3 linked regions of the Oryctolagus cuniculus genome follow. Each later gene encodes a partner of the first gene's protein in a complex. Links are inferred from orthologs where the notes say so. Each region holds a gene or a part of one and is shown on either strand. Other genes may lie near its edges. The genes, in order: PTPRG, CNTN6 and CNTN4.

Region 1 (5,016 bases):
CCCAGCTCTCTGCTAGGGCCAGGGAAAGCAGTAGAAGACGGCCTGAGTGCTTGAGCCCCTGCATCCATGTGGGAGATCCAGAAGAAGTTCGTGGCTCCTGGCTTCAGATCAGCTCAGCTCTGCCCGTTGGGGGCATTTGGGAGTAAACCAGCCGGTGGAAGACCTTTCTCTGTCTCTCCCTATCTGTCTGTAACTCCACCTCTCAGATTAAAAAATTAATTAATTAATAAAAAAATTGTAATAATACAGTAATAAGGTGCCAGGGAGGCTGCAGACACAGATGAACAAAAAGCTGGGAATTGTGGAAGCTGGGTGGGGGGGTTGTGTCTATAGGGGTCCATCACGTTTTGTTTTTTTTTTCTTTTTATGTATTTTAAAAGATGCAGGAGGAGGTAACTTGCCTAATATCATGTCTGATGATACTTCCGCTGTGCACTTGGAAAGCATCAGTGGAAGCACTAACTGTGACCCTGGTCCCACACCTGCCATGCTGCTGTTGAAAGATTAAAGGCCACTACTGTTTCCTATCCGCTGGGAAAAGACCCAAGCCAGGGCTGTGCTTCCAAAAGGCTCCCCACACTACAGCTACCTTGTACCCTGGGCAGAGAACTCAAATGCAAACACAAATGCAAAGTTGGTACCATTCCAAAATAAGTAACAAGGGATTTGGATCAACATCTCACAAGGACCCTAATCCAAAATCAGGAACGTTTTTATCCCGTGTGTCAAACACATAAACGCTTCCTAGGTTCTGGGAGGCAGAAAGTGGGGGTTTCAAAGTGAACCGCAGCCCCCACCGGGTTTCAAGCCGGCCACGAGCAGCAGCCCGGAACCGAAGCCACCTCCTCGCGCCCAGATGCATCTGCAGCCCTCAGTGCCTCAAAACCTGGGCGCGCGCACCCCATTCCTGAGGCGTGGAGATGGCCGAGGCCAGCCCCAGGAGGTGGCAGTAGCCCGACCAGTGGCTCAGAGGCGCCCCCTGAAGTCCAGCGGTGCCACGGCACCTCGGGGTGTTGGGGGGGGGGGGGGAGAATGCCAGCTCTCCCAGCAGTGTGACATCTGAACTTTGCTGGCTTCAAAAGCTGCTACATCCCCTCGGGCCGCACTTTTCCAAATCAAACCCCGCTCCCCCCTCCCGTCCTCCCCCATCCCCCCCGCCCCCCGCGCCTCCCAAGGCTGCGCCTTCCCTCTCCCATACCACTGGGCTCCCGGATGAGGGAACGGGCTATTTACCTCGCAGCGTGGGCACGAAAAGAAAATGAGAAAGGCGAAAATGGTCCAAGCCCCAAGCAGGCGGCATCCCTGGCGATCCCATTTTGGATCGCAAGCTTCCTCGGCTACCAGGAACACGAACATCACGGTGGGCCCACTGACTGCATCCCCACGCTGAAGAAAGCCAGAAATGGCCATGGCAATGCCTCCCATTTCCCAGGGTTGCCCTCCGCTACCTCCCGTGACCCCGTTAAGGCAGGGCCATAGCAAAGCTCGACCCTGAGTGCATCTGAGCCCACTCAGGCGGCAAGTTCGCGGCCGAGAGGGGGAGTCTAGCAGCGGAGATGGTTAATACAGATACTGAGCAGTCTTCAAGGAACAGGGAGAGACAGCGATCCCACTCCCGTGGGCGCTGGCCCCGGCCGGGCATGTCTCCGGCCTCCGGGTTAGTGTGGACGCACGTCCCCGTTCAGTCTCTGCCTGGGTTTCTGAACTGTGGCAGGAGCTCTGTGCGGCTCCGGGGACAGGGGGATGCGCACAGAGAAACAGGGGTGCCCAAGGAAAGACAGGGCTTTCTCTGCCTCTGCGCCCCTCTAGGCTACTCCCGGGCGTGCAAAGGGGGCACTTGCTGCCAGTCTCTCCCCTGAGCGGGTCCGTACGGGGGCAGCGAAGACGCCCGCGCCCTGCTCCAGGGTGCACGACGGGGCTGAGCGATCCGCTGCACCAAAGCCCGGCGCTCCAGCCGCCCGAGGACAGGCGGCTGGAACTGGGCACAGCGGAAATAACGGAGCACGTTCCTCTTTCTCCTGATTCAGATAACGGACACCTATATGTATCCGGGAGCGGGCGGATGAGAGGGCACACAAACGGGGGATTGTCCGTCCTCAGGAGATGGAGAGGTGAAAGCGAACATCTCCTTCCCTCTCATCCGTATCCCCACTCCAGGGCAGAGGACGTGGCCTCCATCCCCAGAGAGGGGGCCGGACAGCTTCTAGGGAGATCAGGGCTGCAGCCTGGGGACCCTGCAAGAGAGAGGGAGGCGGCTGGCCACTGCCCTTCGGGAGGGAAGGAGGCGTCGGCCGGCTCAGAGCTGCAAGTGGAGGGTCGCCGAGCCGCACACCTCTACGTGCAGTGATTTATTATCGTCATCAATGGCCAATATTGTTCCTGTCTCAACCTGGCCAGAAGGGAGCAGGTCTGGGTCTGCCATCCGTGAACAGCCTGCAAAAGGCAGAGATGCAGGTAGGCAGGGCGCGCGAGACGGGGAGAAATCCGCCCCGGCGCGAACAGCAACCCAGCCGCCGGCCCGCCCCCTGCGCCCCGACCCCCGCGGCCCCGCGGAGCAGAGGGAGCAGAGCAGCGGAGGAAAGGGGCCTGAGGGAGCCTGCATCTCCCTAAACCGCTCGCTCCCGGTCCTCCCACTGCGCCCAGGCAGTCTGCCTCCCGCAGGCAGCCAAGGGCAGCCCCACGCCCCCAGCAGGGGGTTGGAGGGGGGCCCACCCCCGAGAGCAAAATGCAGGCTGCTCCCAACATTCCCCACACCCTCAATCCTCCGCCGTCAACCTCCGGCTTCCATACCAAATACCAGTCCTCCCCAAGGGTCAGAGATCAGCAAAGCGAGGCCCCTCTTTCTGACCTCTTTCGATCCCTACCGGAGAGAGGAGCACACCCCAGACTCCCCCCAAGCCCACAGAGGCATCCTCCCACGGCCTCAGTCTCCCCAACGGCCCCCCAACTCTACCTCTCCCGATTGGCCGCGGATCAGCAAAGCAAGTCCCCTCTTCTCCCTACTCTGGCTCTCCCACGGCACCCCCAAACCCAAGCTGGAGCAAGAGAATCCCGGGTACCTACTTCTCCTCCCCGGGCGGTCCCCGTCTCCACCCTCCCCGACAGCCAACCAGCCTCCCTAAACATCGCCAGGGCTGGCGGAACAGGTCTCTCTCGGTCCTGGGCACCCGGTTCCCCGCCACCCCCGCCGGGGTCCCCAGCACCGGCGCCCGAGCTCCGCGCCCCGGCGACAACTCCGCATCCCCCCGCGCGCGCCGGCTGGGGCCGCGTCCCCTCCGAGGCCGGCACTCACCGGGGAAGCACACGACATAATGGAGCACGGAACTGGTGATTTTCAGGAACAAAATCCACCAACACGGTTCCAGTAACCTCCGCATGTCCGAAAACGCACATCGAAAAGACGAAAGCAGGGGGGGATAAACTTGTTGAGTAAGTTCTCGCTTCGGTACGAGCCTCCGCTAAGCCTGGGCGCTTCTCCGGCTCGCCCGCTCCACGGGCCCCCCGCGCTCGGCGGCCCGAGTCCCCCTGGAATCCAGGAAGCCACCGAGCGCCCCCCGGAAAATCTCAAAAAGTGACCGCGAACGCGGAGCCTCGCTGGGGACGCTCCTCTCGGCGGAGACGGGCTGCGTTCCGTTCAGAAAGGCGCGAGCCGAGCAGGCAGGGCGAAGAGGCGGCGGGCGGCGGCGGCGGCGATGCCCCGGGCGCGGGGCAGGCAGGGACCGCAGGCGGCGGCGGCGGCGGCGAGCGGCGAGGATCCCCAAGTTGAGAGCCGAGAGCCGGCGGGCGGCGGCGGGGCTGAGGCGCGGCGCGGCGTCTCCGGGCTTCAGGCAGGCAGCTCCTTCCAGGGCCCCGGGAAGGAAGGAGGCATGTTTGCGAGCGGGGAAGGGGAGGGGAGCGGCGGGAGGAGCGAGCAGCCCCCCAAAATAGAAACGGCCGGAGGAAACCGAGGAAACCACAAAGGATCTCAGAGGGGCGCTGGGGCGAGGGCGCCTTCAGTCCATGCTCCTGAAAGTTGTGGCTCCGGCGCAGGCTGAGGAGGAACGGGGAGCGCGGGGCTGGAAACTGGCCATGCCTCCATACAGGAAGTAACATGTGAGCATGGATCCTGGCAGAGACTTTAAAGCCGGCGAGCGAGCGAGCGAACGAACGAGCGAGCAGGGGGCGCGCAGCGGCGCTGGCGGCGGGGGCGCGCGGCGGCGGGGGCGCGCAATCCTGAGCAGGCGGCGGCGGGCTCGCGCCCCGCGCTCTTAAAGCAACCACGCTCGCCTCCCGCCTCCGAGGGGTCCCGCAGCTCCGCGGTGGCCGCGGGGCCCCGGGGAATGCAGGCTCTTACAGGGGGCGCTTAGGGGGACTGGGGACGACGCCCGCCCGGTTTTGCAGAGAGGGAGGAGGCTGCCTTCTAGAGAAGCCAGAGTGTCTTTGCCAGATTGCCGTGTTGCGAGATCTTAAAGACGCCGCGCGCTAGATCCCGAGACCACGGAGCTTGGGGATCTGGGACTTGGGGGGACCAACCCCTAGCCTGGGCCTGGGGATAGAAGGTGGGCCAGCCAGCCGCCTTTTTAGTGCCGGAGTGTTTCCTGTTCTGCTCCACCGCCTTGGCAGCGCCGCGGCGGGGCGCACCGCTCGCGCCCCCTGCTCGCGCCCCCAGCCCAGCGCATACCCGGGCTTGGAAACAAAGCCGAGCCAGCGGCCTTTGCACTCAGGTTACGTTGGGATTTGATTCCCACCCCCACTCCCACCCCTTTTCGGGCTTCCATTGGCCGAGTCCGCAGCTGGGGAGAAGGGGGAGGGGACTGAGATCGATCCCGGGCTTGCAAAAACCAGCTCTCTAGAGCTCCACACGGCGGATCGGTGGCTTGAGTTCTCCCAACTCGCAACTCCGCGGGAGACGGTCCCCGCGCCCCGGGCTGGCTGCTGGAAGTGCGTCCCTGGCCCGGAGCCGGGTGAGAGCAGCGCCGCGGGGCAGAGCTGATCTGGCCGCTACCCAACGAGCCGCCGCTGCTGTAGCAAGCGGGC
Region 2 (5,207 bases), about 36 Mb from region 1:
ATAGTGGTTGGGAAGGGAGACAGCAAACAGATTTCCTTACGTTATACAAGCTCAGAGAGGCAATGATGGACAGGCATCAAGCTAAAGCATGCAGAGGCATCTATAATGGAAAGAATGGCAAGACGGCTTTCATGCTTCCTCAAATTTTGAGTTCTCGGAACTTTGGCTCAATCCAACGCATTTTTATATGCGTGTGACATATGTTACCTAATTTCCACTTAGCAGCACTATCATGATAGTTTCATCTTCTTTTAGTGAGATACGAGAACTGAACAAATTGTCTACTATGACACATAGAATGGGGCCAGCACAGCAGTCCTCACACAAACTTGTGTTCCCTTCACTGCCTCAGCAGCCCAGGACATCACCACCAGGAAAGACACGTGTGCGCTTTCCGCGTGGAGGATCGTTTCCTCAGCCTGCTAACGCTGGATGCGCTGTCCGGGAAGCGCACCCAAGACAGGAGACGGAAGCTCAGCACCGCACGGCGCGCAGAGACCCTGGGGCCTGGCGCGGGAAGGGACCGAATGGCGGGTGCAGGGGCTCGAGTGACCATGACGGCACCTTATGGCGGGCGCCGAAGCTCCAGTCCTGGGAGCAGAGCTCCAAGTCTAAGTGTCAATGTGAAAAATCAATAGCAAGCAAGCATTTTATGTTCGACACTGCCCTTCTCTACTTAGTAAGCAGAAGAACATCTGGATTTTCATAATTTGGAAAAGTAACTTTTTGTAGCTACATAAAATAAAATGCAAAAGAGAAACATAGAAGAGATGCATGGAACCTAAGAAAGAAAAATGGGAGAATGCAGGAAAGGAAGGAAGGAGTATGAAAAGACAGAGGGAGGAAAAATAAAAAAAGATGGAAGGAAGGCAGGGAGGGTGGGGGAGAAGGGAGGAGAGGGGCAGAGGAGGGAAGCAGAGAGGAGGGAAGAAAAGTGAAAGTGCATTCTCAAAGAGGGTGCTCTTATTTTCTGTCTATACACTGGTAAATTATATCACATTCTTATTCTTACTGTTTACCTATTTATTTTTCCATCTTCTTGAAAGACAGAGACAGATATGAGAGAGAGGGAGGGAGGAAGAGAGAGCTTCTAACTGCTTGTTGACTTCCTAAATGTCTGTAATGCCTAGGCTGGGGCCCCGGAACTTCATCCAGGTCTAGCAGACAGGGTGGTAGGGCTCAAGCACTTGGGCATCACACCCTCCCTTCCAAGGTGCACATTATCAGGAAGCTGGGTCAGAAGCACAGGAACTGCAATTTCAATCAGGCATCTCAAGGCGGCAGCTTAGCCTGATATACAATAATGCCCGATTCTTCTTCTCTGACAAGAAACGAAACCATACGTGCTCTAAGGCCACTGGTGTGTGTAAAGGAGTTTTGCTGTAGCATTTTTGTTGATAATTATTTAAATATTTTGAGCAGGAAATTATTCAGCAAATTATTGCACAAATAAAAGCACTTCTAAAAGACTGTGGGAAAAGTAATTAAAAGATATGTTTGCTTTGATACAAAAAAATTTGTGAAACCAATGTTGTTTATGAAGAACTCTCATGTGCATCGATTTCATTTTTTTGCATCAAAAGAAACTTACCTCTTAATTACCTTTTCAAATTTTTTGAAATATTCACATATTTCTAATAAACACCAACTATGCTTTTCATATAGAAGCTATAAGTAGTAACCTAGAAAACTGTAATAAAATAAGTTAAATAATAAAAGCAAGTTGCAGACTAGTAACTTTAGTATTTTTACTCTTATGTGTAAATATTTTTAAAAGGTAGAAAAGAATGTTACTGGAAGCACAATAAGTTGCAACAGCTTTGTCAATCTGACAACACTAGTCAAGTGCCAAATTGAAGAGTTTATGTGTTCAGGTGTGCGGCCTGGCGCTGTGGCCTCCTAGGCTGAGCCTCCAACAGCTCCGGTTCAGCTGCTCCTCTTCCAATCCAGCTCGCTGCTTATGGTCTGGGAAAGCAGTGGAAGACGCCCAAGAGCTTGAGTCCCTGCACCCTAGGAGGGAGACACCTAAAAAGCTCCTAGTTTTGGATCGGCTCAGCTTCGGCCATTGCAGTCATCTGGGGAGTGAACCAGCAGATGGAAGGCCTTCCTCTGTCTCCCTCTGGCTGCCTGTATCTCTCTCTCTCAGATAAATAAAATCTTAAAAAAAAAAAAAAAGAGTTTAGGTGTGGAGCAAAGAAAGTAGATCTTTTTCAACTCTGCATTGTTGAACTGTTTGAAATGTATATTGCTTTAAGTTCAAAATAAAACCTTCACACCGTATTTAAAATTTCCTTAAGTCAAACTAGATCTTCGTTTCATTATGTAAATTTATTACAGAGTACCATAAATGAAATGGTCTCATTATCTTTTAAAATGTTCTAGGAACACACACACAAAAATTAGAAATGAACACAACGTCCATAATGGGGCCTCCTAACCGTGTGTTTCTAACAGTAACGCAATCGGAAGGATTTCGGAGTACTAACATGACTGCCGGGGGCTGAATGACTTGTCATCCACACGAGGTGCACTGCAGGATTAAGACTGGATTTCACTTCGCGCCACTGCAGTCCACCTCAGGAGATGTTTTATGGAAAATGTGTCGATATCTGCTCACCATACGGCACAAACACATCCGGGATCAACACTGCCTGTCCTGGCCTTGGAAATGTGCAGATTCGGCTCTCTTATTTCCCTGGGAAGTGCTCACTGTGAACTTGGCTGAGGATCTCACCGTCCCAAACATCAGCGGACCGGAAGGAACCCCCTCGACGGCTCTTCCGCGTGAGGTGAGCTGAGGTGCTCTTCCACGTTAAATAAAACCGTGAGGCTAAGCCACGAGGCGAACACCGAGCGACTCACCGAGAGGCACCCTAGGCCCTCGCCGCGTGAACACGCGCCCTCCGGGCCAGAGCGCGCCAGGGTCAGGCAGCGCCTGCTCGGCGACCAGGGACGCGTGCGGCCCTCTCCGCAGGACGGGCCAGCCGCCCTGAGCGCGGTCCGGGAAGCGCATCCAACACAGGAGACGGAAGCTCAGCACCGCATGGCGCGCAGAGACCCTGGGGCCTGGCGCGGGAAGGGACCGAATGGCGGGCGCAGGGGCTCGAGTGACCGTGACGGCACCTTATGGCGGGCGCCGAAGCTCCAGTCCTGGGAGCAGAGCTCCACATGGCGGGCCGCAAGCCTCGACCGGTGGTGATGGGAGTGCCGGGCGCAGAGCCCAGGGAGCCGGGCGCAGAGCCCCGAGTGCCGGGTGCAGAGCCCCGAGAGCCGGGAGTCGGCTCAGGACTCCCGAGTGCAGAGCTCAGGACCCCGAGTGCCGGGCGCAGAGCCCCGGGAGCTGGGTGCAGAGCCCCGAGTGCCGAGCGCAGGACCCCGGGAGCCGGGTGCAGAGTACCGAGTGCTGGGCGCAGAGCCCCGGGAGCCGGGTGCAGAGTCCCGAGTGCCGGGCGCAGAGCCCGAGAGCCGGCGGTGAAGTGCTCCCCAGCAGGGAGATACGCCATTGTTGGGCTCCATCTGCGTTCTGAGGGCTGCGGGGCGGAAATGCGCAGGGCGGCCGTTTGTAGGCGCCGGCCCGCGCGCTCCCTCCGCGTCAGCGGCCGGCTGCGGCCGGCTTTGCCCGGCTGACTCCGGAACGCGCACGACCTCAGCGCTCCCGCCTGACAGCGCGCACTAGCTACCAGGACAACACGGGCACCAGTCACAGAACAGCGAAACAGCCCCTCCTCCCGGAAACGCAGGCCCGGGGGCGGGCGCGAGGCGCGGGAGCGCGCAGGCGGGCACAGGCTGTGCGCGTGCGCAGTGTGCACGAGCGCTGAGCGCGTGCGGAGGCACGGGAGCGCGCAGGCGGCGGGCACGGGCTGTGCGCGTGCGCAGTGTGCACGAGCGAGCGCGTGCGGAGCCAAGCGGAGGCACGGGAGCGCGCAGGCGGGCCGCACAGGCTGTGCGCGTGCGCAGTGTGCAGGAGCGCTGAGCGCGTGCGGAGCCCAGCGGAGGCACGGGAGCGTGCGCCCAAGCGCAGCGGGCAGCACGTAAATCGCGGCCGCGGGGTGCCCTGCGTGTGCATCACGCGAGGCGCGCGGAGTCTGGGCGCGGGGTCCTCACCGCTCTAGGCCGAACCCAGACCTGATTTTCCACCCTGACAGGGTCCACGTCCCTGTCCTGCGCGTACGCCGTGTGCAGTGGAAATCAGAGCGAGATCCTGGCTCCTGAGTGGGACGGGGCTGCCCCGGGCGCCCGGTGGCGGCCCCCAGCCTTGAGGGTCCTCCCGCGGCCCCCAGCTCCGTCCCCGGTGCTCCAGGGTAGGGCTCGCGCGGGCCCCGGCTGGTCCTCCGGCTCGTGCGCCCCGCACAGGCGCATGGCGGCCTCGGCCCCGGTCACAGCCTCTCCCGGGGCGAGCGCGTCCCAGGAGGCTCGTCAGGAGTCGTCTCGAAGCCTGGAAGAGGCCGGTTTTCCTAGACTGAACCGACTTCAGGTAGACTCTGCCGATTGCAGACAGCCGCCCCCGGGAGCAGCGTCAGGCGCGCGGTGCAGTCACAGGACACGCACAGCGTGCAGACAGTTCACCGTGCTGGGCCTCCAGGACATCATCTTACGGTGAGAGCCGTCACCACCGCGCAGGTGTCGTACACTCTCCCTAGCAACAGGTCATGAGTATCTATGGAAGACATCGCAGATCAGAAAGGGGACACGGTCGGCCCTTGCTTTCCGGTAGCCTCACCTCAGCAACAGGGCCAGCCTGGCTCACAGGCCCGGGGTCACGGGTCCTGGCTTGCACACCGCCTCTCCCTGACGGCTGCACTGCCTCGCGCCTGGAAAAGGCTATGGGCTTGCAACATTTGCTACAGAGCTTCAGCTGTATCTCACAACTTCCTCGGGCAGTTTAAGGAGATATTATCTCTAAGGTCAGCACTGTGGCACGGAGGGTAAAACCGCCACCTGCAGTGCCGGCATCCCACACGGACACTTGTCAAGTCCCGGCTGCTCCGCTTCCAGCCCAGCTCTCTGCTGAGGCCTGGGGTAGCAGTGGAGGATGCCCAAGTCCTCGGGCCCTGCACCCGCGTGGGAGGCCTGGAGGAAGCGCCTGGCTCCGGGCTTCGGATCAGCGCAGCTCCAGCCATTATGGCCATCTGGGGAGTGACCCAGCGGATGGAAGACCTCTCTCTCTCTCTCTCTCTGCCTCTCTTCTCTCTCTCTTTGTAACTCTG
Region 3 (5,021 bases), about 35 Mb from region 1:
TACCGCAGCCACTGTGATGGGCGCCCAGCCCTCCCGGATCTGTCTGGAATGTTCACGGCGAGCAGCCCCGACCCCCACTCCCTCACACAAGGAGTCTCCCAGCAGAGGCTGCAGCTCTGATTCCCCCAGGCCAGGAGAAGCCGCGGTCCGTCGGGACACGCTGGGGCAGCGCTGGCCGGGGCTTGTCCGTGGGCGCGGCAGAGAGGCGGCTCCCGGGTCCCGGTGCGGTGGACGCCCAGTGCCACGACCGGGTCCAGCCCTGCTGCCACTGCCGCTGTGGACCGCGCAAACCCGAGCCCAGGGCCGGGGCGCCCGACCCAGGATCCAGGTGAGAGAGAGGCACACTCGCATAACCGGATGACGACGCGGCGGGGGTTACCGGGACCCGGTCGGGAACGTGGAGACCTGCCTGGCCTGTGGTGCCCGGGAGAAGGACACAGGCTGAGCTTTGGTCTCAGAGGTTCTGTGCGCTCAGAGGGCGCCTGCATCCACTTCTGTTGCTGTTCTTGTATGTTTTTACTGAAAATTATATATATAATATATATATATTTTACTTTGTAAACATTTATTTGAAAGGCAGGCTTAGAGAGAGAGAGGTCTTTGATCTGCTGGTTCACTCCCCGGATGGCTGCAATGGCCAGGGCTGGGCCAGACCAAAGCCAGGAGCCACCAGCATCATCCGGTCTCCCTCATTGGGTAGCAGGGGCTCTAGGACTTGGGCCATCTTCCGTTGCTTTCCCAGGCCATTAGCAGGGAGCTGGACTGGAAGTGCACTCTGCACCCGTATGGGACGCTGGCTTTGCAGGCGCGGCTTTGCCTGCTAAGCCACAGCATTGGCCCCTGAATACAGTTCCTTTAAATAATAAAATAAATGAAAACAACAGACAAATCCCCAGTCCAACACTGAGCGAACAAGACTGCTGCACTCGCAGGCAGGAGCTGCAGGGTTGCACGCGGCGCACGCGGCCAGCGGCCGCTGCAGCTCTGGGTGCGCAGATGCGGGCCCAGCAAACCCTCAGGAGAAACGCGGCTCCACCCAGCGCGCGCAGCCCTGGCCCCGCGCCTCGCCACGGCCCCTCCAGCGCAGCGACTCCGCGGAGCACGCGCAGGTAAAAGTCCCTCTTCCGGCTGCTCCAGTTCCGCTCCGCCGCCCGCCCCCAGCCCCGGCTCCTCCTGAAGATGCGCCCCAGGTTTGGGTGTACGGGCAGGTCGCGCCTCCTTGTGCCCCGGTGCTCAGCGACGTCGCCTCGGACACACCCCTGGCCTGCAGCCCCCACGCCCTGCTCGGGAGCCGGGACGATGGTCTCCGCGGGCCTGGGGACCAGCGAGGCGTCGCTACCAGTTCTCGCGCAGTGGTCCAGGCGCGCCTCCCCAGCGGCAGTCCATCTGCGCCCCCAAGCTCCCCCCGCAGGTGCGTCGCCTCGGCGCGCGCCTCCTCCGGCAGTGCTCTGAGCATGCCCAGCTCGGCCGCGCGCCGCATCCCAGCCACGCGCGGGCGCCTCCCCGCTCCCCGCCCCTCTCCACTCCCAGCGCGCCCCTCCTCTCCGCGGCCGCGGAGCCGGCAGCCCGAACTCCGGCGCGCCGGGTTTTTGGAGCGGCCGCGAGCGTGAGGAGGACGTAGAGCGCGGCACCAGGCAGCTCCAGGTCCACACCAGGATTGGCCGCAAGTGGGAAGGTTCGCTCTGCACGGGGACCCCGGCCGGTGCCGACGCCGCGCGCGGATCCTGCCAACACCGCGCTCAGGTGCGGCTCAGGTGAGCGATGCGCGCGCTGCTCCCGGCTCCCTGGAGCGCGGATTTGGGGAAAAACAGGGTTCCTGCGGGCTGGAGGATGGAGAGGAGCTGCCCGCCCGCGGCTCTCTCTCATGCAGGGCTGGACCGGCCCGAGCGAGCGGGGCGGCCCTCCGAGTCTGGCCGCGGGCACTGAGCGCCGCGAGCCCAGGAGGAGGCAGGGCCGCGGCGACCCTTCTCCCTTTCAGCCAGAACATAAGTTTGTTGCGCTGCGAAGCGAGCTCCGAGCCGGGAATGCTAGGGGACCCTTGAAATCCGCTCCGCCATCCAGCTCAGGACGTGCCCCTGGCGCGCAGATGATGGCCCGGTCGCTAGCGGGGTTCCCTCTGCGGGCCAGAGGTGAGGAGGGCGGACGTGGGCTGTAGGTGGCAGGGCCGCTGGAACAGGAGCCGCGGCCGCGACCGGAAAACCGCGGAGACAGAGACCGGCGTGCGGGGCCCCGCCGAGCACCGGGCTCGGGGCCAGGCGTCTGGGCAGCGGCGAGCAGTGGCCGCGTCCCCGCTCGGGCGGAGCGCTCCTGGCTTCCCAGCTTCTACCAGGGCGCCCTTAGGGGCGGCACTCTTTTCCAGCAACTTTTCGGGGGTCTCCAGGAGCTGGTGAGGTACGTTGGGCTACCACCTTGTCCACTCGCTGGACCCAGACAGCGGCGAGAGGCGCGCCCGGCCCCCGCGCGCTCTCCTGAGACAGAGGGCGCAAACCCGTGGCTGCGTGCGTTTCCCGTTTGTGCGCCTCGAGCCGGTGTCTGACTCCTAATGGGAGGCGTGGAGGTGAGGGCGGGAGGACGGGGCTCCCCGGTGGCCGCGCACGGCTGCGCCCGCTGGCACAGCCGGCCGCGGGGTTGCGGGCGCGCGGGGTCTGGCGCGCCGAGGCTGCCGGAGGTCGCGCGGCGCGCGTCGGGGCTCAGCGCTCTGGCTGCGCGGCCAGCGCGGGGAGAGGCGAGGGCCTGCGTGGGGGGCTTGGCCGGTCTGGGCGACGTGCGGGGAGTCGGGCTCCGGGAACTTTCTCTGTTTTTCCCGCTTGGATCGACACGGGGTGGGAAGAGTGTCTTCTAATTGCATGGGAGCGCCCGCGGCGCCGGTGGCGGGAGTCGGGTGTTTCAGGGCGGAACGCCACTGGGCTGGCGGCTGGGACACCCGCGGAACCCCATGTCTGTTTTTTTTTTTGGGGGGGGGCGGTCGTTTCTTCAGGGACTGAGGCGGGGACGCGGGGGAGGTCGGCACCTTTGCGCCCCGGGCGTCCCAGTCAGCTCTCCTCGCCCGGGTGGGCGCGAAGCGCACGCGTCACGCGCGGACTCCGCGAGGCGCTCTGCGGTGATTTCGCCTTCGGTGCAGGCTTGCCGGCTCCTCGGGATCCGGGGCTGTGCGCCTCCGCCGCGGTCCGGGAGCGGAGGAGGGCGAGGGCGAGGGCGAGGGCTCAGGGCTTCCAGAGAACGTCGGTTTGCTGCTGGTCTCTGCCGATCGCAGCTGCGCCTCTTGGCGGAGGCTGATCGTTAAACTTCGTTCTGTCCACTCTGGGCCCTGCCAGGGCGCCGCGCGCGCGGGAGAACTCGTCTTTACCACTAGGGCTGAGATTGTTAAGAAAGAGAGATTATTTATTTGAAAGGCAGAGCGACAGGAGGGGAGGGGGAGCGCGCGCGGTAGTGTTCTACCACTGCTTCACTCCCCAAATGGACTCAACAGCCAGATTTAGGCCAGGCTGCAGCCAGGAGCTCCTCCAGGTCTCCCACGTGGGTGCAGGGCCCAAGGACCCGGACCATTTTCTAACGCCGGCCCAGGTGCAGAAGCAGGCAGCCGGGACGCCAACTGGCGCTCCACCTGCGCCTCCCAGGCAGGGGCTTTACCAGCTGTACCAAAGGCGGGCCCTAGAGGCTGAGCATCTGAGAGGCACCTGTGTGCGGGCCGCTGGGCGTGGGCGGAGTTAAAGCCAGGTGGGCGGTGATGAGGTGACTACAGAGCGCCCTCCACGGGGCGGCTGGCGGCTGGCTTGGTTCCTCGGGGCTTGCCCGAGGCTCTCAGCTCATTCTCCTGTAAGCACGGAACACCGTGGCCGTGACCGCACACTCTCCTGGCTCTCCTGAAGGCTCACGGGCACCTGTGACTCCAGTCGAGGTGAAAGTGTGAGCACAACCTAATTGCACTCTCAGAGAGGCTTCTCCACCCGTGTCGTCTGATAGTCAATGCTTTTCACGTGCGCACTTTGCGGTTCCTGCCCTAGACACAAAAATGAGTTCCCATCTCCTTCTCAAGGAACTCATCTTTTGTGAGAACTTGGGTTCCTAAGATTGTGATTAAACGACTGTGGTTCTTGTGATAGGCAGGTGTGAGGGTAGGGAATTCTTTTTTCTGGTGTTTTTTTTTTTTTTTTTTTTTTTTTTAAATACACAGCAGTGTCTGAAGGAGGAGGGAGGCAGGCCAGAGTTTGTACCTGATGTACTGGCCTTTGTTTTTTTAACAATGACTTTCAGAAAGAACCTTGACCACACACTGGTGAAATGTGTGCCTTGGTAGCAGACATTGTTCCACCAACTGCTGCTGATAAATGCACACAGAGCAGAGATGCAGGATGGCGGGAGGTCTGGTGTCCTGGCCCCCAGGGTCTCAGGGTGTGGGAGGTCTGGTGTCCTGGCCCCGGGGTGCAGGAGGTCTGGTGTCCTGGCCCCCAGGGTCTCAGGGTGTGGGAGGTCTGGTGTCCTGGCCCCCAGGGCCTCAGGGTGCAGGAGGTCTGGTGTCCAGGCCCCCAGGGTCTCAGGGTGCAGGAGGTCTGGTGTCCAGGCCCCCAGGGTCTCAGGGTGCAGGAGGTCTGGTGTCCAGGCCCCCAGGGTCTCAGGGTGTGGGAGGTCTGGTGTCCGCCCCGGGTGCAGGCCCACTGGGAGGCCTCTGCTGCCCTGACTTGCTCGCCCTTCCTCTCCTCACCTCTGCTCCGCTGTTGCTGCAAACATCCTGCAGTGGGATTCGAGCTGTCAGAGGTTGAGTGCAGCTGGAGTCAGGAGCAGATAAAGGGAGACCACGTCCCCCCACTTTGGAGAAGCAAGCGTGAGGGCCTGGGGTGTCAGCTGGGGAGGTGGAGCCCCGAGGGCGGAGAAGCCCTCCTCCCCTAGCAGCCATTGCCCAGGCTTGGGGATGCTCACGGCTAACACTGCTTCTCCTGGCCTTTCTGTTGCTCTGCGTTCTCCCCAGAACCAGGGAAGGACCCTCTCCTGGTGCCTGAGCGCCCCAGACCTTGCTGGCATTG

Evidence for each region.
Region 2: the proteins of PTPRG (region 1) and CNTN6 are in contact, whole or in part, in a crystal structure (PDB 5E5U), measured with the Mus musculus proteins. The link is inferred for Oryctolagus cuniculus from reciprocal best matches to the Homo sapiens genes PTPRG and CNTN6. Residues at the interface, in NP_033007.2 of Mus musculus: Val225, His226, His227, Lys229, Phe288, Thr290, Gln292, Gln293, Asp294, His295, Val296, Lys297, Ser298, Val299, Glu300, Tyr301; in NP_059079.2 of Mus musculus: Arg129, Val132, Arg135, Gln138, Gly139, Val140, Val141, Leu142, Leu143, Cys144, Gly145, Met222, Gly223, Tyr225, Glu226, Pro227, Lys228, Glu230, Leu252, Asn306.
Region 3: the proteins of PTPRG (region 1) and CNTN4 are in contact, whole or in part, in a crystal structure (PDB 3KLD), measured with the Mus musculus proteins. The link is inferred for Oryctolagus cuniculus from reciprocal best matches to the Homo sapiens genes PTPRG and CNTN4. Residues at the interface, in NP_033007.2 of Mus musculus: Lys222, Val225, His226, His227, Lys229, Phe288, Thr290, Gln293, Asp294, His295, Val296, Lys297, Ser298, Val299, Glu300, Tyr301; in NP_001103219.1 of Mus musculus: Thr128, Arg129, Ser130, Val132, Ser133, Arg135, Gln138, Gly139, Met140, Val141, Leu142, Leu143, Cys144, Gly145, Val219, Met220, Gly221, Glu222, Tyr223, Glu224, Pro225, Lys226, Glu228, Leu250, Asn304.

The regions. Positions count from the first base shown.
Region 1 is NC_091441.1:88,359,879-88,364,894, forward strand, and holds the start of PTPRG (receptor-type tyrosine-protein phosphatase gamma), read right to left. Parts: upstream 3,427-5,016; 5' UTR 3,378-3,426; coding exon 3,293-3,377; intron 1-3,292.
Region 2 is NC_091441.1:123,971,333-123,976,539, forward strand, and holds the start of CNTN6 (contactin-6), read right to left. Parts: upstream 3,263-5,207; 5' UTR 2,863-3,262; intron 2,857-2,862; exon of another isoform or gene 2,487-2,856; intron 1-2,486. UniProt on the Homo sapiens protein: Contactins mediate cell surface interactions during nervous system development. Participates in oligodendrocytes generation by acting as a ligand of NOTCH1.
Region 3 is NC_091441.1:122,980,966-122,985,986, reverse strand, and holds the start of CNTN4 (contactin-4), read left to right. Parts: upstream 1-1,518; 5' UTR 1,519-1,743; exon of another isoform or gene 1,744-1,754; intron 1,755-5,021. UniProt on the Homo sapiens protein: Contactins mediate cell surface interactions during nervous system development. Has some neurite outgrowth-promoting activity. May be involved in synaptogenesis.